Schizosaccharomyces pombe: one gene and its partners. Each later gene encodes a partner of the first gene's protein in a complex. Each region holds a gene or a part of one and is shown on either strand. Other genes may lie near its edges.

Region 1 (6,742 bases):
TCTTATCAGTAGCATATATTTTTACCAAAACAAACTCATCTTTTAAGCCTCGTTGCAGAGACGCTAAAGAGCGCTCCTCAAAGTATTCCTCACATTTGGCCAAACCTATAGTAGAAATGTATTGAGAATTTACCGAAGGAGTCATAATTCGATTAAAAAATCCTGATATTCCATACCCCGATTGATACCAACTCCTTGAGGCAGACAATGAAGGGTTAGGTACATTCACGCCATTTCCCTGTAAGTCGTCGGGAGTCGTATGCAGGGACAAAGGTGGATCATTCTCAGTTTTAGAGGTTGATGATAATTCAATATCATTAGGCTTTCCATCATTCACGTTCACGTTCAATTGAGCTTTCGTGTCTACTACAACCTGCAAATTTGTGTTTTCGTCATCCTTTTCAGGATATGTTCCCGTTTCTTTGGATTTTGGAGGCAGACCGACATATCTACGAAGTAAATTCAACATTAAACGATCTTTACGACCAAGATTATTGAGATCAGGGTTCTCGTAAACCCAACCGCGAACATGAACTGATATGTGCTTGGGTTCACTACCGTACTCTTTACCAGTACTAATGAAACATTGAGGATAAATGGTTATTGAAGTCAAATCATTGATAGTAGGGCTCTCTTCAGAGCCCCTAAACAAACGTCCAAATGATCGAAACATGGACGGTAAGAGCCCACCCCGAAACGTAACATGTCAAGCTCAAAATAAGCAAATTTGAACCCATATGCATGCGTTAATAGCGTTTATCGTAATATTACCGCAAATACTTAAATTTTGTTAGAGCATTTAAGGATTATTTAGAATACGTAATATTTCAACTCAAAATACTGGAATGAGTGGGAAAGAAAAATAAATTGATCTAAACGCTGAAATTAAACCTAACAGGGGATTGATTAAAGCTTGGCTCACGAAAAGATATTATGACTTAAAAATGCAAGAAAAAGGAGAAACAATCAAAGGACTTTCGTTGATCTCGTAGGAAAAGAATGCACTCTCAAATTGCATTATTAATCCTACATTCAATTAATTAGCTTTTGCTTTCATCCATGCAGTCACGGTTTCAAGAGAAAAGGATATCAAATTTTCACAAAGAAATTAAAACAATGATTAACAAACTAAATGACACAAGTTTTCTAAAGTGCTTGGAGTAATGAATATTATCTCACAACTAGAATTAATCCTCAAGGTGCTCTTCGATGTCTTCATCATCATCAGCGTAAGCATCAAGAGGAGATTTGTCTTGATTCTTAAAGTATTCTTCACGTTGTTTGCGAATACGGCGGCGTGCTGAATAACCCCAACGGAATTCGGCATCAGGATTTTCTTCTTCTTCCTCATCATCCGTGTCAAATTCTCCATGTTCTTTGGGCTTCGTGCCATGCGTCATTTCCGGATCTAAAGTACCATCTACTTCGCCTTCTAATAAAGATTTTCTATGTTCTCTCTCCTGTATCTTGGCTCCCAACTTCATCAAATATGGCCGGATTAACATATATCCTCCAACATATACGATAATTCGAATCCAGTCCTTCAATGAATATGATTGTAAATAGCCTGCAACGTCAAACCCCATTTTCCTTGCACAAAAAAGAGTGGTGGATACTAAGTTCACCTGTCTGCTCAACCAGGCAAACTATTATTAACCAAGTCACTAAAATTCTTTAGACTTTTTTAGAATTTTTAAAACCTCGTTATTCGTCTTAACGTATATTCTCAATGATATGCTGTAAAAAGATTTATTAATTAGGCTATAATACTAATTTATTTAAAAATTTTATAGTTATTTGCTTTCTTAGTTTATTTTAAAATTATTTTCATACAAATTTTACTTGGTTTACAGTATTTATACCGTGACTTATGATTCTCTTAAAAGAAGAATTTTCCAAATTAAATAGAACGTACAGTAAATAAAAAATTATATAACATAAATATAAGGTGGGATTTTATGAAGTAGACATATGTGCTTAGAAAATAAATAGAAAAAATGCGAAAGTAAGGTTCACTACTAAAGGCGAAACGAAGGTGATAACTTCAGCAGTGCTTTATCAGAGTTCCCAACTATCTTCTTCTTTGACAAAACTATCATTAGAATCATTCAAGGTTTCTAATTTCCTCTGCAAAGACAGGCTTCGCTCGTTGGCTTGCTGAGAAGAACCCACCCCCATGGTATGCGGGCTGAATTGGATAGTTTTAGGTGGAGACATTCCACTTGGGTTAATGCTATCATAGCTTTCATGCTCAAATTCTGCAAATAAAGAAAGAGCATGCGAAGAGTTTCTATCGTTAAGTGAAGGCATGTCCATTTTCATTGATATGGGAGAAGGCGATACAAAAGGAGAAGAATCAATATCCATTACTTCTTGAGATTGCAAATTCTTAGGCTCACGTGGAGTCACTTGTACTTGCCAATTTGTATCTAAAACGCGATGCAGAAGGGCACTACGACCTGTATGAGGATTATTTTCTGGTTTTCTTAGCGGAGTCTGCATCCTTGCCGGGATGGGGGTCAAAGCTGCATCATCTAACGAAATATCCTCTAAGGAGACATCCATCTTCTTAGGAGTGGACTGTACAAAATCCTCGTTTTTTGTATTATCTCCTTGTACAGCTGCATCGGGAAAATCAGATTTTCCGACAAAAGAATGCCTCTTTTCCAAATGTTCATTCTTTGTGTGCAGCTGTAGGTCCGCCTCTGTAGAATTAGACATAACATCTTGATCGCTTGGATTGGATTCTACTGGAACAGGTTCCTCTACACCCGAAAGTGAAACATTGGCACTTGCTTCAAAAAACTGCTTCCAAAACTGTTTTCTGTTAGCTTAATTCTTAAAATAATACAAATTACAAGCTGAATCATGAGTGGCAGTTGCCATTGAACATACTTTTGAAGAGTCCCATATAGTGTTACAATTTTTTGCGTATTTTTCCACGATAGGCAAGATTTTGGTAGTCACTGTTCGATGACATTTAGAAAAATTTGCATCAATTTCGTAAAGTGCTAGAGTAATCGATTGTTCCAATCGTTCTAATCTAATTCTTTTGTTAGAGAATGTTTATCTACAGTCGCGACAAGTTTACTGCATACTGTTCCAAATTGTTCATAAGAATGACATCTAATACTCATAAAAACTTTGAAAATATTATTTCTTAGTATAGAAACTCTCAATGGTGAAATTTATGGCGAACTGCAACTGAGGTGTAGGTATACTAGCGTCCATTATTAGCGATGTTTCGTAAAGTAAACAAGTTAAATTGGCAATATACAGTGAGATTTTTGTAAGTTCAAGATAATACTAATACAATCATTGTTGAGTAATAAATATGAATTTTAAAGTTTTGTTTACTTTCCTCAGTGGACTAAATGCAGACTGCAATGATCAAATGATCCATAGTAAACAAACATTCAACTTGTCTTTTGCCAGCATCCTCAAGATCCAAAATGAGTAGTATCTTTGGAGAGAATATTGTTTCAGATAGTATAGTAAATATGGAGTTGACGAACCCTGATAATACTACGACTATGCATCCCATCTATGAAACTAACATTGAAAAGGAAGTCCAGCAGGAGTTTTCTGACAATGTCTCTGAAAAAGAAACGATTGACTCAACTAAAAGCAAAATATCTTTAGAAAATATACAGCAAGAAATGGGAGCACTTGCCAAGAAAATTTTTCATAAATTAGGGGTTAAAGCAACCGACTTGGGATTTTCTAATGAGCATGATGACTCGCAGGATTCATTACAGACACTAGCGCCTTCTCCATCATATGTTCCACTTTTGAAGGTTATTGGAAGCTCTGAGGAGGTCAATAGCAACTTGGTATTAACCGACTTGGAAACAAATACTGATGGATATGATCCTAAATTTTTGATTTCTGTTAGGAAGTTTTTGATGGGATCTCCCAACTCTGGCTTTGTCGTTAAACATGAGAAACGTCTTCCAGATGGACCGCGTGTTCTGGCCCTTCGAGCCATTTCATCAGTCGATGAAGAAAATAGAAAAGAGCGCCTATCTCCTGATAGTGATCCTGTTGAAACAGAATCTGTTTATGTTGACAATGGAGAATTGTCAAATCAAAAAGTAGAAACAGTTGAAATTTCCGAAAAAGAACAAAATGATGATCCCGCCGGATATTCTCAATACCTTCTAGAGTTCAAGAAGAGTAAATGTCAAAAGAAAGTGCCGACTTTAGAGAGTATTGAGGAAAATGAAGGAACGGAACCTCATGACAACTTGACCTTTATGACTGATTTGGGAACTCCATACTATTCTCTGGGTAATGAATTTGAAAGAAAGCAAATTTTGGATGAATACGGGTTGCTGGCTAATGATGAAAACCTAGTTATTGGACACACGTTAAGAGCGGAGTATTGCTTTATGTTTGATGAAAGCGATATCCTGCAATTACGCAATTATGAACATACAGAAAAGGAACTTAGTGTCCTTCAATTTAAAGGGGTCTCGTCACGTTGGGATTTTCGTTGCTGTAGAGAAGAACGTTTACTCCGATTGCTACTATGTTTCGACAGTGAACATACTGGGCAATCTTTCATTCAACTGAACGATCCTGAAAATGAAAATGAAAAGGAAGAACAAAATTCCATTAGCATTAGGGAATTATCCTACTTCAGCACAAAACTTATTTCATTGATCTTACCCAAAGAAGCACATAAGCAGCGGTATATCATGCTAAGCTCCTTAGCAAAGACAAGGGAAGCTGATTTCTTTTGGTCTGAAGAGGAAAAAACTAATTATACAAACGAGCTTCTCAGCAACCCATGCAAATTCCTTTGTGAACTAGATCATTTCGATTCATTTCCTCATCAACAACAAGATCTACTCTGGAAGTACTTAGCGGAGTTTTCTGCTAGTTTAGAGTTAGACCCCAACCTTGCCCTTTGGAAGAAGCAAGTTATTTTTTCAAAAATCGGTCATCCGAAGTTGCTGGTTATGCCAATATCTAGTTTCCACTGCGTACAACGTTTCCCTGACCTTGTTTGCGTTCAAACTTCAACTGCTGAAACGTTTTTGTCTGTGGATCGTGAATTAACAACTTATGACCTAAACACTATTAAGTTGTTAAACACAGCACCTAGTCGTACAGCTCAAAACTGGCTTTTTATCATGCATCACCTAGAAATTGTAGGCTATTTATTTCCACATTTGGTTCATCTCGATAAACAGTATAGTTTATTAGATTATGCAAAGTCTGTTGAGCACATTCCAGAATTGGGCACTGTACAACGAAAAGGGTTTTTGAACAAAGTCGCATTTGATGATAACGAGGCTTTACTTTACCAAGTTTAAACGTACTGTCACATAATTTTCTATCACATGTTATCGACCATTCAGTGTTGAGGTTCCTAGGAATCTCTTCTAGGATGGTAGTGTACCTTTTAAGCGAAATTTTGTTTCATCTGCACATTCATTATTTACAAACCTATACGAACTTGACAAAAGTTTTTACGAATATACTAAATATTGACTTATTAATACTTGAAAATATTATCACTTTTTTTGAGGTGGTCTAAGTAAAAATGTGTAGGTCGAATTCGTCACATAGGGTAATAAATGTAAGTGTAGGACCGTTAAAGTATGCTCTAAATAATCTTTTAACATATAAAAAGTAATGTGGATTATTTGCAAACACCATAATGAATGTTGATCAAAATACCGGTTCAACGTCGATAAATAACAAACAGCAGAGCCCACCGATACACAAACCTAAAATTGCAAAGGGACTTTAATAGTCGTATAATCTGGAGAATGAAATGCTTAGCGACCGATCATTGCAACGTGATAATAGGTTGGCTTAGGTGCTTTGTTTATTTACATTTCAATGTTAGTTGTCATGGAAACGAAATTCATACAAAATAAAGCGTATGCGGCTGTAAACAAACAAAAGATTCAACATTTACATTTACCCATTTTACCCAAAAATGGGGTTTCATGGATGTTTAAGTACAGATGAATATGAACCTGAGTTAATTGAGAAATATGGGAATCCTGAACCACCTTCTTCAAGCATATTAATTAATACACGACCAGTCAATCCATTTTTATCCACTTTCGTGTATGTAGGAAAGGCTAGCAGTTCTGAAGATGTGTCTATATCTACAGGTGAGGAGGAAATGCGAACCCTTTTAGTTGCGTCTGCTGTTAAAGATGCAAAAGGTTGGGTGTACCTTTCCGGAAAAGACGTTGAAGAAATAAAACAGAAAATAAAAAACCTGCAGGGATTACTTGGTGTTTCTATAAAAAAACTGGCTGTCGAAGCCAAAATTAGAGAAGCTGCTAAGAATTTGATGGTTGCCCAAGCTAAGGAGAAAAAAGGAAAACATAAACAAAGTACGATAGAGCATTACGAACAATGTTCTCGTAGAGTTAGAGAACTTTCTTCTAAGATATGGCTTATTGAAAGGAAACTTGCAGAATTTTATATGCACCTATTGAAGCATATGGTTGCTGTGTGCATTGCTGAGCTTAAACCAGGTAGCTGTAGCAAGGTATCTTCACCGGTTTCTGCCATCACCGCTGATGAGAGCGCAACTGGATTTCGAGATGAAGAAATAATGAACAATGAGGAAATTGAGCAGCTTGTAGAGCGTATGAGCCGTATACTGGAAATTGCTCAATCAATGGGTAATTCAATTCGTGAACCATCTGTCCTAGATGCAGTACAAATGAACGCTGGTGAACGGCTACTCGAGCAAGTTCGTCACTTAGAG
Region 2 (3,383 bases), on another chromosome or scaffold:
ATCATTGCTCAATTAGTGCACCTATGGTTTAACGAGTTGAAAATTTGACCGCTAAATTAGAATATTGAATTCTCGCTCGGCTTCTTATTCTTAAAATTTTAGAGTCATACCTTACCAAGTACAGCAGTAGTAAGCAGTCACAACTTAACAAAAGAAATATGAATTTCGAAAAACATTTCTAAGCACAACCAAAATGCAAATTTTCGTCAAAACCCTTACGGGTAAGACGATTACCCTTGAGGTGGAGTCCTCTGACACTATTGATAATGTCAAGAGCAAAATCCAAGACAAAGAAGGAATTCCTCCTGATCAACAACGTCTTATTTTCGCTGGTAAGCAGTTAGAAGATGGACGTACTTTGTCTGATTACAACATCCAAAAGGAGTCCACTCTTCACCTCGTTTTGCGTCTTCGTGGTGGTGGTAAGAAGCGTAAAAAGAAGACTTACACTACTCCCAAGAAGATCAAGCACAAGCACAAGAAGGTTGAGCTCGCCGTCCTCAAGTACTACAAGGTTGAGGATGATGGAAGCGTTAAGCGTCTTCGTCGTGAGTGTCCTAACTGTGGTGCATCCACCTTCATGGCCAACCACAAGGACCGCCTTTACTGTGGTAGATGCCACTTGACCCTCAAATTGGAAGCTTAAATGAGTTTGCGATAAAATAAATTAACACTTTTTTAAGTGATATTTTGTAATATATCTATATTGCTCATTGTAATGTGCTATATTGAATTGAAAATACTTATATTGTAAATGGTTATGAAAACATTTCATTTGTATTATATTTCTAGTAGTCCCATGATGATTTTTTTAAATAAATAATCTAAACATAAGCCAAACTAAACAAGCAAGCTACGGTTGAATGATTGGTGGAATTTTCAACAGTTTTTATATGCGCAAACGCGATTATTGAAAACGCCATTGAGGAATCATGAGTATTTCGAGGACATTAGATCTAAACTCAAGTTTTTAGTAAAAGGTAGTAAATATAGGAAGATGCATTCTTTTATTAATAAAAGAATAAAAAGAATTGAGTCGTAAAACATAGCGTTTAGATTGAGTAAATTTAAACATTACCAATCCATTTCAGTCGGTCGTAAACGGTTCTCGCTCGTATATATTTGTCAACATTCCAATAGCAGTTGGCAAAGTTGGTACCTGCAGCATCGCAGCATAAGCGGACTTTTTCATTTTGAGCATCATCATCATCTAGCTTGGCCCAATTTAAAGAGTGCTGCTCCCATTCACTGAAATACGCATAATAGCGAGCAAGTGCTGCAGTCTTTTCAGCGCTATCTTCGATGACTGCATCATTCTCATGCTCTACTGGCTCTATGTATTGGAATATCTTTTTGTTGCCTCCTCCTAAAGAAGTAGGAATTACCGAATAGTCTATGTATTTTTCGAGGTCGTTTGCGCTCTGAGTAAAAACAATTTTCGCAGCAATCTCTGGTTTAATCCATCCCTTAATAATGTTCCAAACACTTCTGAAAATCCAAGGAGATTTATGAAGAATACAAACACCAAGAGATTGTGGGTAATAATACTCCAAACACGATGCCAAATACTTAACGAAAGAATAATCCATATTATGTAGAGAAAAGTTACTAAGGTCGAACAGAACATTCACATTTTGAGGAGAGTCCATAGAGTCCTTCAAAGTCTTTTGTGGTCGCAGAAAAAGTCGCATAGTTTCCATTACCCACACGGTCATCTCACGAAGAGAATTCTGAGTCAATTTTGAGGGTTGATGTAAATGGACTTGAATATAGCAGATAGGGCGATCAGATAAGTCCCTTCCCAACATAGTTACCTTTCCAGTTCTCAATTGTTCCAAGAACTGATCATCATTTGTCTCTTTGGCATAAAGCTCACCCCGCTCAACGATACGCTCAACACCTGTATCTACGCGCCATTGTAGCGTATTGATTAACTTTTGACTTGCTTCATGTGAATCGTTATTGCAAGAAGCCAAAAATCGTACTAAGATAGCGTCGGGTGAGTCGCATTTTGCTAATCGTATGAACGATTCGCGATATTCTTTATGCTCTTGAAACCTAGGCCATGTCTTTTGAATCATCAACTTTAAAGGTGAATAACTTTCAAAGCTCACTTTTTCGTCTACAGTCTCAGGCTCAGGCTGTTTTTGAGAACGTCGGAAGAAAAATGTTCCTGCTGCTGCTGCCGAAAGCGCTGTAGAACATCTACATCTCACCCAAAGTCGCGAAAACATGGAGAAATACCAGAAAGCTACTCAAAATCCTTTAGAAAATGTTGATAATGTGAAAATAGAAAGTGAGAATGCAATCCCTTCGAATCTCCAAGCCTTTACTAAGTCACTGGCTGTTTTGGATGATAATGTGAGTGAATTTCGTAAACGAATGAATCACCTGTCAGCAACCAAACAAATACTCGACAATTTCAACGAATCGTTTTCTTCTTTTCTTTATGGATTGCAAATCAATGCTTTTTGCGTAGATTATGAAAATGCACCGCTTTCGGAAAGTTTTTTACTCCAAGCTAAGAAAGACCAATTTAAGGCAACGCTGATGACTCGTACTGGTCATTCGATTTCTGACCCTCCCTACGATGGTGGTGTTATTTCTCACGATCCCAATTTTGCAACTGCAGACGAAACATTTGCTACAAATGACACTTCTTTCATTGAACGGCCAGAAACCTATTCCGCTTCCAGATAAATTTATTTAAGCAAGGGAGACTGGTTGAAGTTTTTTCTTTTTCATTTATTATTATAATAGTCGAAGGGAATAACCTAGCATATCAGGTTGGATAATGAAACAACGGAATCATAATGATCATTCAATTTTACGATTTATATACAATTTTTAACATTTTAATGCACATTTTTCTTCAGCGAAGTGAACTGTAGACAATTGCTTTAAAAGTTCTAGAAAGCGTTCAGTAAACTCATATGTAATAGCTTCTCCAATCTTCAATTTCCAATAAAATGAATATGTATTTGTAGTCTATTTTCGATACTCACATTTACAACTTCAGTGGCTCTTTCAATACCTCAAATATGTAACACTAATTGAACCTATTTGAAGTGTCGAAATTTGTTCACATTCTATATTTGTAATTTTAAACATTGGAGCAATTACACTTGTTTTCAAGTATACAACTAGTTTTCGTTTTACTTCAAAATGCATTTCTTTGTTCGGAAGTACCGCGGCAAAGCAGCGTATGTAAGTGTATAGCCGCGGGTCATTCCACTTGTCTCAAGCCAGTCATTAGAACAATATACGTATCGGCCAATTGTGCTGAAAATGGTATCGAATATGTCTCGCTTACTATTTTGTGGATTTAACCAGGATTCAAAGTACTTATTTTATTGTTTTTGATATCAACATCACTAATACTT
Region 3 (6,605 bases), on another chromosome or scaffold:
ATTCCTACCAATGATAGTATTCGCAACCACAGACGCATCACCGACTTTGGTATAGGCACCGATCAAAGTTCGTGCCTTAATAATGCAAGAACGAGCAAGAACAACGTCTTCTTCCTTATAAATCTGATGTCTTTGATAACTAAAAGTTTGGTTAAGAAGATTGCTATCGGGAACAAAAGGATAGACCCATCGAGAAAGAACATCTTTGCTAATAGCATCATAAGTTTGAAGACTACGAACACGAGCTGCATAATTTTCTTTAGCAACATGGCAATGAATCTTTTTTCCTAAAAGATCAGAGGTTAAAACACCATATACGAAGTCTTTTCGAATGTCTTGGTAATCAAAGTTTTCAGTAAAAAGGGCAGGTACATCATTGGAGCAAATGTCAATTTGACAGTCAATCAAATCATTTCGAACCTCCAACTCTTCATGCTCATTAAAGATTTCGGGATCCATAGAAACATAATGTTTTCCCCTTTCGTTAGCTTGATAATGCACGCATTGGCTGGTCTTTTTATCTATCACGAAAACAGAACTCTCTGTACGGGCGCGTGTACGATGAAATGGACTTGCTTCTCGTACAACCATTGTCATAATAGCATTTTTATCATCTTCACGGCGCTTCCGATGTTCTTTCAAAACTTCGTTTAGAGGCACATTGGATACCACATCGCCTGATACGAGTATGAAATCGGAGGTAATTAGCTGTTTTGAATCGAGCTCTCTTAAAGCATCACCAACCGACAGAGATTCTCTTGACACAATCGTGTTTACACTAAAGGGGGAAGAGGGAAGATTCCACTTTGACTTTCTGTGGGTTATATTGTGTTAGTTATATCGTATCAGAAATTCGAATTTAAGACCTCAATTTAGCACATACTCTATATATTCTCGAATTTGTCCTGCATGGGCACAGCAAAATACATAAACTTCTTGCACCCCGGCCAATGCCAAAAACTCAAAAGTGTACTCTATTAAAGGGGTATTTGCTAAAGGAAGAAGACACTAATAATATTAGTACTTAAAGTGTACACTGGTAATTGCATACGCGAGGTTTATCTAATGTAAGAGGGCGAAACCGATAATTATAAGAATCCGACAAAACAATCGCTAAAAATTAGTAACAAACACTTTTTGAATCCCAAAAACATTACCTTGCAGAGCGTGTTTTGGCTTTTCTAGCTTGCCATTCAGCCCTTTGGATGGAGGCATTTCGACAATGTAGAGGGATTAGACATATTTCTCAATATCATTTAAGCCCAAACAGTCATTTAAGGATGCCGTGCTCCACTGCCTTATAACTTAAAGATTATTCTAAACAATTCATCAACTAGAGACTAAAAAGGAATTTATAAAGACGTTAATAATCAAAGAGTAATTAAATTTAGGATATTAAATTTGCATAGCTCATTTCTTTTATAGTTTATTGGCGAAAGAAAGTGGTTTTATTTAAGTAACCACAAAAATTCCACATAATAAACAGAAGATATAAACGGTGATTTATCCTGTTAAGTTGGTAAATTTTGTCAATTTGTTTTCTACAATTGGGTAGTGGTTGCAAACATTTTACTAATCTTATGGTAGTTTATCGAGATTTGAATACAGGTTTCAAGTGTTTACACGGTAATCAAAAAGAAACATAATAAATAAAACTTCATAATAATTATTATTACTGATATAAAGTGGATGGTAGAAATCGATTCGTCAATTAGGGACGATACGAATTGTTGATGAAAAGCAACCACGTGAATAAATATACTAAGTGTAGCATTAAAAGTTATGAATAGAAAAAGAGAAAATTAATAAATAATAGACAATTGGGGAGAAGATATTGGGGATGCTCTTCATTTGATTCGTTCACTCAATGCATAAGGCGTAAAGAAATTAATAGCAAGGATATTCATGCTTGATCAATTAACAAACGTAATCTTCCGGAATTGAGAAGAAGTATTAAAAATTAGCTGATGATAGAAAGCTATACATCACAAATGGGAGGGAAGAGTCCTACGGCTCGAATTTCTGGTAAACTCGATATTCATTGATTGAACATGCAAATCAACGAGTTAACTTGAATTAAGAATAATAATCAATGCATAGAGTCAGCATAAAATTGTCTTTGGTTGAATAAATTAGTCATAAAGAAAGCACGGTAAAATATTAATCTTGATATAAATATAAAACTTGGGCTGATGCACATTTCCGAGTCCATCTTTTATTTTCTTTTTTCTTTTCATTCGTTAGTTGATATTACTCCAATACCCAGAGCTCGATGTCCACGATTTGGATTCGTTGGTCAGGACAGCCACGATAGCTCAAAGGATTGTTTTCGAATGCAGGAGTACGACTAGAGTAAGCGTACTCTAGAGAGCCATCAAGCCAAAGGCTGTATCTTCCATTACCCCCACCAAATGCCAAAAAGCTTTTGGTGCAATATGCAACAAAATTGGAATTTCCTACGAAAGGGTAATGTACATACTTTTTGGGAGGAAAATATTTCCACAAGAAGGTTTCCTCGGAACCAAAGTAATGAGGTGCAGGAATTAAATAATCAGGGATAAAAACTCCAAAAACATCGCCGTCTGTATCGCGCACAGCTAAAATGCAAGCCCCTTTAGGATGGCCGCTTCGAGCTTTTTCCTTTTCGCAGGCTAAGTACATTGTTTGAAGAGATGCGCCGTCATGTTGCAACGAATAGATTCGTTTCCAAGTTTCAGCAGAAGCATATCTTGCTGGCAAGTTCTCAACGATGTGACTGGCCAATTCATCTGTTATTAAGCCGTCTTTAACACTATACTGTCTTGTAAAGTTAAACATTTCAATTGATACAAAATACTTGCTAAAATTTTGTACTCTTATGGTGTGTGTAGTTAGAAAGATTAAGGTGATCCACTAGCCTTATGTAATAAGTAAACAAATAAATAATTGTGAATACAATAACAAACACTGAAATAAACAACAGTAAGTGTATTCTTTAATTTTCCAAAGAAGAAGTTTTTCTTAATAAAGGTATTCTTATTGATCCTTTTTTATTGTTTTTTTTGAGAAATCGAGTAAATAATTTTTTTGGCGTAATGTGTGATTGTTAAGGTGGAGCAGCAGCCTTGGTATTAGCAATTAAAACATTCGTTCAAATTCTATCATTCAGTAACAACAAAAAATAATTATAGTTGACGAGTCAATAGAAACACTATGAACCTGACTTTTACTCTATATTAATAATCAAATATAGAATAAATACATAGTGTTCCATTACTTGCTATCATACTATGCTATTGAACTTTTATTTATATCTTAAATAAAATCTTTTAGAACTTTTAAGAACAAGTATGTACTTATGTTTGTATAAATATTAAGAACTCATTACAACAAATGAGTCCAATGCAAAAGCTGGCGTTGAGCCAGTAATCTAATTGCCGTCTTTAACTTATCATGAACATTATTGTATTTTTCACATACTATTCTATAAATGAGAATATTACAAAAACAATGAGTTATTATGCTCCTGAGTTGTAATGTACTTAGTTTGCTAATTATCTTCGTTCAATATCTTTGCCGCTTTAGAGAATTCCTGGAGCAAACAGTCCAAAGATTCTCTTCTCTTCTCTTTATGTTTTTCATATTCTAGGTATTCATAATCCTCTAGCTCTTTTGTAGCCTTCAAAGTAACAGTAGACGAACTTGCTTTTTTCTTAGCAAGCGACATTTCAATATGCTTTTTAAAGGATGATATATCAAAACATCGACTTCTTTTTTTCCTCTTCAGCTTCATCAGTTTGTATTGGGAGTAAGCCGATCGATCATCTGACGTCGAAGGATAACTGCAATCAGAAATATCTCGGGTGCTTCTTTGAGGATGTAACTTCAAAGGAATGAGTCCATGGTCTTTTATATCCTCGCTTAAATACATTTCTTGTTCTTTGCTCAAATCCATGATAAAACAACGACCTCGCTTCTCCTTTTCTAAATGTTCACCAATACGAAAAGTCGATCTGACTACCAACGCAAATAGCCTTCCTAAGATTGTATCAGTTGCTTCACTTTTTCAATTTCTCTTTCAAGTCTTTGGATTTCAGAAGTTTCACGCTGTAGAATATTCTCCCTAGCAGACACCTGATCGGTTTGTCGTTTTTCAAGTTGCTGCAATTGCTCTTTCTGTTCCAGTAAAACGTTTTCCAAATTCTCAATTCCTGACATATGTAAGTTGTATTTCTCAACCAGAGTCTCCAAATATTCACGGCCACCTTGCATAGGATATATATCTAGTAGTTCCTCAATACAAGCAACGTAGTCTGCAGGGTTTTCTGATGCCAACCTTTCACTCCAATCCTTCGGTAGAGATTTGAACTCAGCTGCAATTAGTTCTTCCTTCTGAGTATCGCGAATTAAATCAGTTATAGCATGAGTATGTAGCACCGCGTCTGTGAAACGTGCTGCGTTTGGGTTTTCCGGTTCCAAAAGTTTTTCTGATGTAGCAGCAATAGACTGTAAATAATTCAACAAATCAGACATTTATTTAATAAGTCATCAAAAACACTAATTCGACTCGTAATTAGTAAAAGGTATGTTTCAATTCACTTTACCAGAGTTGCCAAAAGTGTATGCAATCTCTGGGTGTGTGCAGGTGGTTTAACCAAAACGTAATAAACGTTTGGTATCTTTGATATAATGGAAATCACCTGTGCCTGTTTTTGAAATTCTGTTCTCGCTCAGCAAATTATTTTAACAAAGGTAAAGCATTGCGTTCATTCCTTGCTATTTTCCTTTATTTGCTACACCGAATCATTCTTACGTTTACGCTTTAGGCACACATTTCTTCAGCTCAGATTATCCATTAATAATTATATGTAAAACTTTTATAAAGGTTAATACACGCTAAAAATTTCGTAATCCTCAGTGCAGTTTTGATGAGTTTGCAATTGTTGGACTCTACTTCGCAATCGTGATCTAATCAAAATCTACAACTTTCTAAGTCTGCCAGATTTATAGAACTAAAGGTTTGAGAATTATCCTTCTCTTAGTTCTTTTATTCATATATACCATCTATTAAAAAGTTGCCTCTTTGGAGGCTATTTGAGGTTTTTCTGACTGAACGTTTCGTCTGTTTTTCATATTCTATCAGCCAAGTTTATTCTATTTAAATATAGATTTAAAAACTTTAATTATCTTAAATAGAAGAGCAGTATATTGGGTATAACTAACAGCTTGAAGCTCTGACATCTTAAAGTGTTGTATTAATAAAAATGCTAGAACGATGTCCCTGGAAATTAATCAGCTCGCCAAGAAATATTCCAGCTCGCTCTTTTCTTAATTCTCGTGGAACTTATCTTGTTTTAAGAAAGTCAAATATATTACCTCTTCAACATATACTGCGGTTTTCCAATTTTGCATCTAAGCAATGTTTCCCACTTAGAAATGGAAATAATTCGGCTTCAAAAGCGTTATGGAATAACAAATCAAAAGAAAAAGAGCCACTGAATACTTCTGTTAAACTTGCTTCCGATGTACCAGATGATAAAAATGTAACAGGACAAATGATTGTTAAGGACATGCTTCAATATATTTGGCCCAAGGGGAAGACTAATTTGAAAGTTAGAGTTGTTTCGGCTCTCGCACTACTTGTAGCTGCCAAAATTCTTAACGTCCAAGTTCCTTTTTACTTTAAATCAATTATCGATACCATGAATACAACACTTGTTCAAGAAGTAGGAGCATTGTGGTCTACTGTAGGAGCTGTTGTTCTCGGTTATGGCTTTGCTAGAATATTTTCTACCGTTTTTCAAGAGTTAAGGAATAGCGTTTTTGCAATTGTGTCGCAAAGCGCTATTCGAAGTGTTTCTAGCAATGTCTATCAACATCTGTTGAACCTTGACATGAATTTTCATCTCTCAAAGCAAACAGGAAGTATTACTAGAGCAATGGATCGTGGTACAAAAGGTATTAGTTTCATTCTTTCCTCCATGGTGTTACACATCATTCCTATTACCCTTGAAATTGCTATGGTGAGTGGTATTCTCACTTACAAGTACGGACCTTCGTTTTCGGCCATTGCTGCTACAACCGTTGCTCTTTATGCTCTTTTTACTGTTAGGACGACATCCTGGAGAACTGTATTCCGTCGTCAAGCAAATGCTGCTGACAGTAAAGCATCAGCCGCGGCAATTGAATCTCTGATTAATTATGAAGCCGTTAAAACTTTTAATAACGAATCATACGAAATGAGCAGATATGAAAAGCATCTTTCCGCCTACGAAAAAGCCAACGTTAAGGTAGCATCTTCTTTGGCCTTTTTGAATTCAGGACAGGCTATTATATTCTCTACCGCTCTTACTTTGATGATGTACATGGGTTGTCGTGGAATTGTAACTTCCAACCTTACTGTAGGTGACCTTGTCATGATTAACCAATTAGTATTTCAGTTGTCAATTCCTCTTAACTTCCTTGGATCTGTCTATCGCGAAATGAGACAGGCTTTTACTGATATGGAGCAATTGTTTTCTTTAAAGCGCATTAATATCCAAGTGAAGGAGGCGCCAGATGCTCGAGATTTGGTTCTTAAAGGCGGATCTATTCAATTCGATAACGTTCATTTTTCGTATAATCCA
Region 4 (6,358 bases), on another chromosome or scaffold:
TGGTGAGACGACTACTATGTCGCGCGAACCAGGGATGGGAAAGACATTGTTTGACTGTGAACCGATCTGGGGGATTCGTTTTTAAAAGATTTGATATCAGATCTTTGGCTTGCCTGGAGACGGATTTCCAAACAGGATCTCGAAAATCCACTTGTTTTTCTTTCACTCCATCTGCAAATGATGGTGAATTACCTGACAACAGCAAAAACATAATTACTCCAAGGCTCCATAAATCGACCTCTTTACCGTAACCAGAAGAATTTTCCTTTTCCACTTGAGACCTTCCTTTTAATCTTTGGATTTCCGGGGCGGTATATTCCGGAGTGCCTACGAAAGTCGAAAGTCTTTTTCCCTTCTGCATACATCTTGCAACACCAAAATCGGTTAAAATGATTCTAAAAATGGTATCAGAGGACGACGCAATGAGAATATTTTCAAGTTTTAAATCCCTGTGAATTATATTCTGCTCATGTAAATATTTTAGCCCTTGTAGAATTTGAAACATAATAAATAAAGTGGTAACTTCAGGAACCGTTCCCAATTTCGTTAAATAACTGAACAAATCTCCTCCCGTCACCATTTCCTCAAATATAAAACTAAGGAATATTAATCATCAAAATAACAAACCGCATTCAATCTACTTACAACTGAGTTTCCGAATTATACTCCATGTTTACTTTGATAATGTTAGGATGATCAAGTTTCCTAAGAATTGTCATCTCGTGGTCCTCGAAAAACCGTTTCGTTGAGATTTTTTTCTTGTCGATGATTTTACACGCGTATTGTCCCCCAGTGTTATTATCCATTGCCATGTAAATGCGCGAGAAGCCACCAATTCCCAATAGTCTTTGAGTGATGTTAAATCTCTCACCCGCATACTCGTGATGAAAATCATTATCAGTAGTGTATTTCTGCTGGAAAAGAAAGGAAGCGCAGTGCCGAACATCGAGTATATCTCCATCCGATAAAAGGACGCTATTGCCTTTACCAATTAAACGATGATTTAAGAATGTTCCATTAGAGCTCTGATCTTCACAATAAACAAGGGGATCCATATCATCATCGATTAGCACCGAATACACTCTAAAGTGCTTATAACTGGCAGTGAATTGCAGAAGCTGATAATTGCATGTATTACTCCTTCCAACAGAAACGTCTTCATATTTCTTAACATTCAGTACTAATATATGTCAAAAATCAATTGAAACAAGAGAACACACCTGTTTGTGGAGAAGATGATGAAAAAACAAACAATCGAGCGAGAACATCATCTTCAGTATATTGAGGATCCATAGTACTTTCGTCTATTTGACTCAATTCACAAAGAATTTGCGTTGATTCAGATCGACTAAGCATGGCATGTGATAAAAAGTCCATAGTTCTTGCTTTTTTTTATATACACTTTGCAAAACGGTGATGCGCGTAAGCAATAAATATATATATACTTTGTAAGACGCGCCTATCAAAACGTAAAAGCAGTGTCTATAACGGTATAAAGACAATACCCATTATTATTACGTTATACCACTATAAACCAAAGTCATTTGGTAATGCCAAAACATACACTTGCCAATATTTTGAAGGATTGGGCTTGACACTATTAAGTATATTAATAAAATATGAACCTCATTGCTTATCAAATATAGTAAATTATGAGAATCCATATTAGTACAAACAGAAGAAACTTTGGATTTCAATCTCGAAGAGAGTTGCTGGCATTTAAATGATTTTTAGTCAAATGCAAGCAGAAGAAAATTTCTCGCTGTATTCACTTTAATGATCCGAGGACAAAAACGAGTCCCAATTGTAAGTTGCTCTTCATAACGAAGAAATTTGAGTATGAATAACCATTACGGTTAGAAAAAAACAAGGAAGGAAACTTATTATTTGATTAAGAAATCAACAGCTTACAACATTGCAGATTCTCATGCAACCCCATTTTCATAACGCTTTTAGGAAAGCTTGAAAACACTTTCGAATCCAGCATGATCTAATAAAATGTTAACAGGCAATTAATCGGAAGATTCATTAGGTCAGTGTTTCCGGGGTAATAGTTTAGAAATATTTAAGGCCGGACTACTTCCAAAGGGTTGTTTTGGATAATTGATTAAAAGTGATCTAACCAACTTTTTAAAAACAATACCCATATTCGTTTCTTGGACATTTTAGCCGAAAAGTGCTTTTTAAAAACCTTCATAAGCTTATATCTTGTGCCTGTTTTTACTCTTCCAAGTAGGATGTATTTTTTTCTCTGTAAAAGTGATTGAAAAATTATCCGGTAAATATTCAGTTCCAAATATTCATAGTAAACCACACGAAAAGCACCAACAGTAGAGTTAAAGCTTAATTTATAGTTCGGTTTGACGTATTTTCAATTTCAAACAAGCACGTTATCAACTTTCATCTTGAAACATGCCGCTTTTACCTTCTTGGTTATTTTCTAGGTCTGCCAAAATCGCCCAAACACTAGCTTTGTAAAGAGTATATACAAGTCCAACCTCCTTTTCTAAATCCCTTAGCGAGTCCAGAATATTGTTGCTGGGATTATAAACCATGTCCTGTAACACCTTAACAAGCTAAATATTAACCAACTGCTGAATAAAAAAGACTTACTGTTTCTAAATTTGATGCAAGATTAGCATATTCAGCTAAAATTTGATTCTGGAGAGCTCTTTTTTCCTCTAAACTCATTGTACCTTGCCTTGCATAAGCACTTTGCTCTCAGCAAACTCCTAGTTGACTGAAATCCTCCTTACTTCCACCATGGATGGCCTTAGGCCTTCGAAACGAAGAAAAAGTAATCCTTTGTATTCAGAGTAAGTTATAGCTTTTTTCTATTTAGTATTTCTGCTTTTTATACTTCGATGATCTTAACACGCGAGAGTTACGCGTTAGGAAGTATTGTACGAATTAAATTAGTGAACTTTGTTACATACGATTATTGTGAACTGTTCCCTGGTCCATATCTAAATTTGATTATCGGTCCAAATGGGACAGGTAAGAGCACAATTGTTTCAGCAATATGCATTGGGCTGGGATGGCCCCCAAAAGTAAGTCTTTCAATATTATAAAAAATAACTTAATTGATTAACGATTTAGCTACTTGGGAGAGCTAAAGAGGCCCGTGAATTTATAAAGTATGGCAAAAACACTGCAACCATAGAAATTGAAATGAAGTATCGTGACGATGAAACGGTTACTATCACGAGACAAATAAGCCAGGATAAGAGTAGTTCTTTCTCTATTAATAGGGAAGCATGTGCCACTTCTTCAATAACGTCTCTAATGGATACTTTCAATGTACAATTGAATAATCTTTGTCATTTTTTACCACAAGACCGTGTTGCAGAATTCGCTCAGCTTGATCCTTATTCTAGACTGATGGAAACTGAGCGTGCAATTGACCATGAAGGGTTACTTCCCGCACATGAGAAGCTTATTGATTTACGAAAACGAGAAAGGGAAATTTTACAAAATAAAAACCAAGGACAATCAACATTAAATTCATTAAAAGATAGACAACAGGCACTAGAGAAGGAAGTCAATATATTTAAAGAACGGGAAAAAATCAAATCATACATCGAAATGCTAGGGTTAGCTAAAATGTTAGTTATATACAGAGAGAAAACCAATGTCTTTAACCAACTTCGTGCAGACAAAAAAAAATTAAAAAAGGATTTGAAAGACCTAGTGGAAGAATTTCAACCTATTTTGGATAAAGGTGAAGAGCTGCGTTCGGATTTAAAACTAAAAGATGATACATTTAACGATTACTCCTCCGCTTCGATGGAACTTAATACCTCAAATTTAAGAGCCAGAGCTTCTTTTTCGAATTTCATGGAGAACGAGAAAAAGCTTTATGAGAAGGTTAATACCAATCGAACACTTTTACGGAATGCAAATCTTACATTAAATGAAGCACAACAATCGGTGAAGTCATTAACAGAAAGACAAGGCCCAAGACCTTCGGATAACGGTGTTCAAGATCTACAAGAAAAGATGCAAGAAGTTAATGCGGAAAAACTTCAACATGAAAACGAGAAACTTGAGAGCTCTCATGAACTAGGTAGTATCAGAACATTGAAAGCACAAAAGCTTATTGACCTTGATAACATTAAAAGAGAGTTGTCCTACTACAACGATGCTACGAAAAGGAAACTAGACTTTATGTCTTCTGCTCCAGGCTGGGAAGATGCTTATCAGACGTATCAGTTATTGAAGGAATACGAATCTGCGTTTGAAGCACCCGCATACGGCCCAATTTATATGAATTTGAAATGTAAGGAAAAAGGGTTTGCAGCTTTGATAGAAGGGTTTTTTCGCACGGATACGTTTCGAACATTTATAATGTCAAATTATAATGATTATCTAAAGTTAATGGATCTTATCACTTCAAAAACTAAGTACACTCCTACTATAAGAGAATTCTCCAGTGAACGAAAAAAGAAGATAGAAGATTTTGAACCTCCATGCTCTCGTGAGAAGCTTCAGTCTTTCGGGTTTGACGGATATGTGATCGATTTTTTAGAGGGGCCAGAAGTGGTTTTGGTTGCTTTGTGCCATATGTTAAAAATTCATCAAATTCCGATTGCAAAAAGGGAACTACCTCCCGCATCAGTGAATGCGTTAAACAATTTTCGTCTGGCTAACGGGGATCCAGTTCTTAAAACTTACTTGGCGGGCTCATCTATCCACTTGGTTTTTCGTTCAGCTTACGGTGATAGAGAAATTACTAGGCGAACAGACCCATTACCTTCTCGCAGTATATATTTTTCCGAGAACGTTGAGATGGATTTGGTAAAGCGAAAGGAGGAGCAACTAAATGCTCAACTCTCTCAATTGGAAAATTTACAGAATGAGGAAAGAAAGTTACAAGAAAAGGTAAATGAGCACGAATCGCTGCTTTCTCGTACAAACGATATATTATCTACTCTACGAAAAGAGCGTGACGAAAAATTAATTCCTATTCACGAATGGCAACAATTACAAGAAAGAATAGAACACCAAACTCTTCTACTAAGACAAAGAGAGAAAGTTCCTGAGCAATTTGCAGCTGAAATTGAAAAAAATGAAGATATCAGGAAAGAGAACTTCGAAGCTCTTATGAATTCGGTGTTAAAAGTTAAGGAGAATTCAATTAAAGCTACGAATAATTTCGAGAAGATGTTGGGAAGTAGACTTAATGTCATAGAAGCGAAATACAAACTTGAAAAACACGAGATGGATGCCAACCAAGTCAACGCTCGATTGACAGAAGTACAAGATCGTCTTAAAGATATTACCGATAAGTTAGCCTCAGCAAGGGAGGATGCTATGTCCTTGTACGGTTCAGTGGTTGATTCATTGCAGACACAATCATCTGACAGACAAACGGCAATAACTGAATTAAATGAAGAATTTGCTACTAGTTCGGAAGTGGATAACAAAATTAGCATCGAAGAAACGAAACTGAAGTTTATGAATGTTAATAGTTACGTTATGGAACAATATGATGCGCGTAAAAAAGAAATTGAGGAACTAGAATCGAAAATGTCAGACTTTGATCAATCCGTTGAAGAGCTCCAAGACGAGATGAACTCAATCAAAGAGGATTGGGTTAGTAAGTTAGAGGAGAATGTTCAATGTATTAGCGATAGATTTTCTAAAGGAATGAGTGGAATGGGATATGCTGGAGAAGTTCGACTAGGGAAATCCGACGATTATGATAAATGGTATATCGATATTTTAGTACAATTTCGAGAGGAAGAAGGACTTCAAAAACTTACGGGTCAACGACAATCTGGTGGAGAACGTTCTGTATCTACTATAATGTATTTATTATCTTTACAAGGTTTGGCAATTGCTCCGTTTCGAATAGTTGATGAAATAAATCAAGGAATGGATCCTCGAAATGAACGAGTTGTGCATAGGCATATCGTCAATTCAGTGTGTGACAACGCTGTTTCACAATACTTCTTAGTCACTCCAAAGTTATTACCAGATTTGACATACCATCGAAATTTGAAAGTGCTATGTATTTGTAATGGTGCTTGGTTACCAGCAACTTTTAGAACATCCCTTTCTACCTATTTTGAAAAGTTAAAGAAGTCCGCACTCATTTCTTCGTCATAAATGCTACATTACCATATTTGTCTTGTTGGCATACTTTTTCTTAATTTTTGATATTTGTTTTGTCCGATGGTGTTTTGTTTACTAAAGAATTTATTTTATGAGTTTTAAAATTTTGCATACGAAGTTACCCGTTAGTCATTTCGTTCCTTAGAGTCACCGAAAATTTGACCGTTAGATTTAATAAATTAATAATATCATTATCTTTAATTATTGCTTTCAGCATCCTGACATTTAAAATGTTATATCT

What was found.
Region 2: ask1 (region 1) and dam1 share a complex: the UniProt entries of both Schizosaccharomyces pombe proteins name them as parts of the DASH complex.
Region 3: ask1 (region 1) and spc34 share a complex: the UniProt entries of both Schizosaccharomyces pombe proteins name them as parts of the DASH complex.
Region 4: ask1 (region 1) and dad3 share a complex: the UniProt entries of both Schizosaccharomyces pombe proteins name them as parts of the DASH complex.

The regions. Positions count from the first base shown.
Region 1 is NC_003423.3:1,560,450-1,567,191, forward strand, and holds ask1 (DASH complex subunit Ask1), read right to left. Parts: upstream 3,203-6,742; 5' UTR 3,116-3,202; coding exon 3,099-3,115; intron 3,044-3,098; coding exon 2,896-3,043; intron 2,818-2,895; coding exon 2,059-2,817; 3' UTR 1,877-2,058; downstream 1-1,876. Other genes in the region: app1 (actin cortical patch protein), read right to left, coding at 1-673; protein trafficking protein Pga2, read right to left, coding at 1,188-1,586; protein meu25, read left to right, coding at 3,453-5,321; septation protein Uds1, read left to right, coding at 5,954-6,742. UniProt on the Schizosaccharomyces pombe protein: Component of the DASH complex that connects microtubules with kinetochores and couples microtubule depolymerisation to chromosome movement; it is involved in retrieving kinetochores to the spindle poles before their re-orientation on the spindle in early mitosis and allows microtubule depolymerization to pull chromosomes apart and resist detachment during anaphase.
Region 2 is NC_003424.3:3,105,691-3,109,073, reverse strand, and holds dam1 (DASH complex subunit Dam1), read left to right. Parts: upstream 1-2,232; coding exon 2,233-2,700; 3' UTR 2,701-2,883; downstream 2,884-3,383. Other genes in the region: ubi5 (ubiquitin-40S ribosomal protein S31 fusion protein), read left to right, coding at 194-646; csr101 (sec14 family protein), read right to left, coding at 1,068-2,234; WD repeat-containing protein Atg1801, read left to right, coding at 3,166-3,203. UniProt on the Schizosaccharomyces pombe protein: Component of the DASH complex that connects microtubules with kinetochores and couples microtubule depolymerisation to chromosome movement; it is involved in retrieving kinetochores to the spindle poles before their re-orientation on the spindle in early mitosis and allows microtubule depolymerization to pull chromosomes apart and resist detachment during anaphase.
Region 3 is NC_003424.3:3,670,283-3,676,887, forward strand, and holds spc34 (DASH complex subunit Spc34), read right to left. Parts: upstream 4,613-6,605; 5' UTR 4,513-4,612; coding exon 4,018-4,512; 3' UTR 3,417-4,017; downstream 1-3,416. Other genes in the region: translation initiation factor eIF2B epsilon subunit tif225, read right to left, coding at 1-814, 884-1,008, 1,052-1,113, 1,158-1,215; V-type ATPase inhibitor and disassembly protein in response to oxidative stress Oxr1, read right to left, coding at 2,251-2,817; ABC family Fe transporter Atm1, read left to right, coding at 5,244-6,605. UniProt on the Schizosaccharomyces pombe protein: Component of the DASH complex that connects microtubules with kinetochores and couples microtubule depolymerisation to chromosome movement; it is involved in retrieving kinetochores to the spindle poles before their re-orientation on the spindle in early mitosis and allows microtubule depolymerization to pull chromosomes apart and resist detachment during anaphase.
Region 4 is NC_003424.3:5,226,159-5,232,516, reverse strand, and holds dad3 (DASH complex subunit Dad3), read right to left. Parts: upstream 2,719-6,358; 5' UTR 2,692-2,718; coding exon 2,614-2,691; intron 2,577-2,613; coding exon 2,394-2,576; 3' UTR 1,617-2,393; downstream 1-1,616. Other genes in the region: mek1 (meiosis-specific serine/threonine protein kinase), read right to left, coding at 1-596, 646-1,180, 1,221-1,377; Smc5-6 complex SMC P-loop ATPase subunit Smc5, read left to right, coding at 2,764-2,816, 2,885-3,050, 3,100-6,111. UniProt on the Schizosaccharomyces pombe protein: Component of the DASH complex that connects microtubules with kinetochores and couples microtubule depolymerisation to chromosome movement; it is involved in retrieving kinetochores to the spindle poles before their re-orientation on the spindle in early mitosis and allows microtubule depolymerization to pull chromosomes apart and resist detachment during anaphase.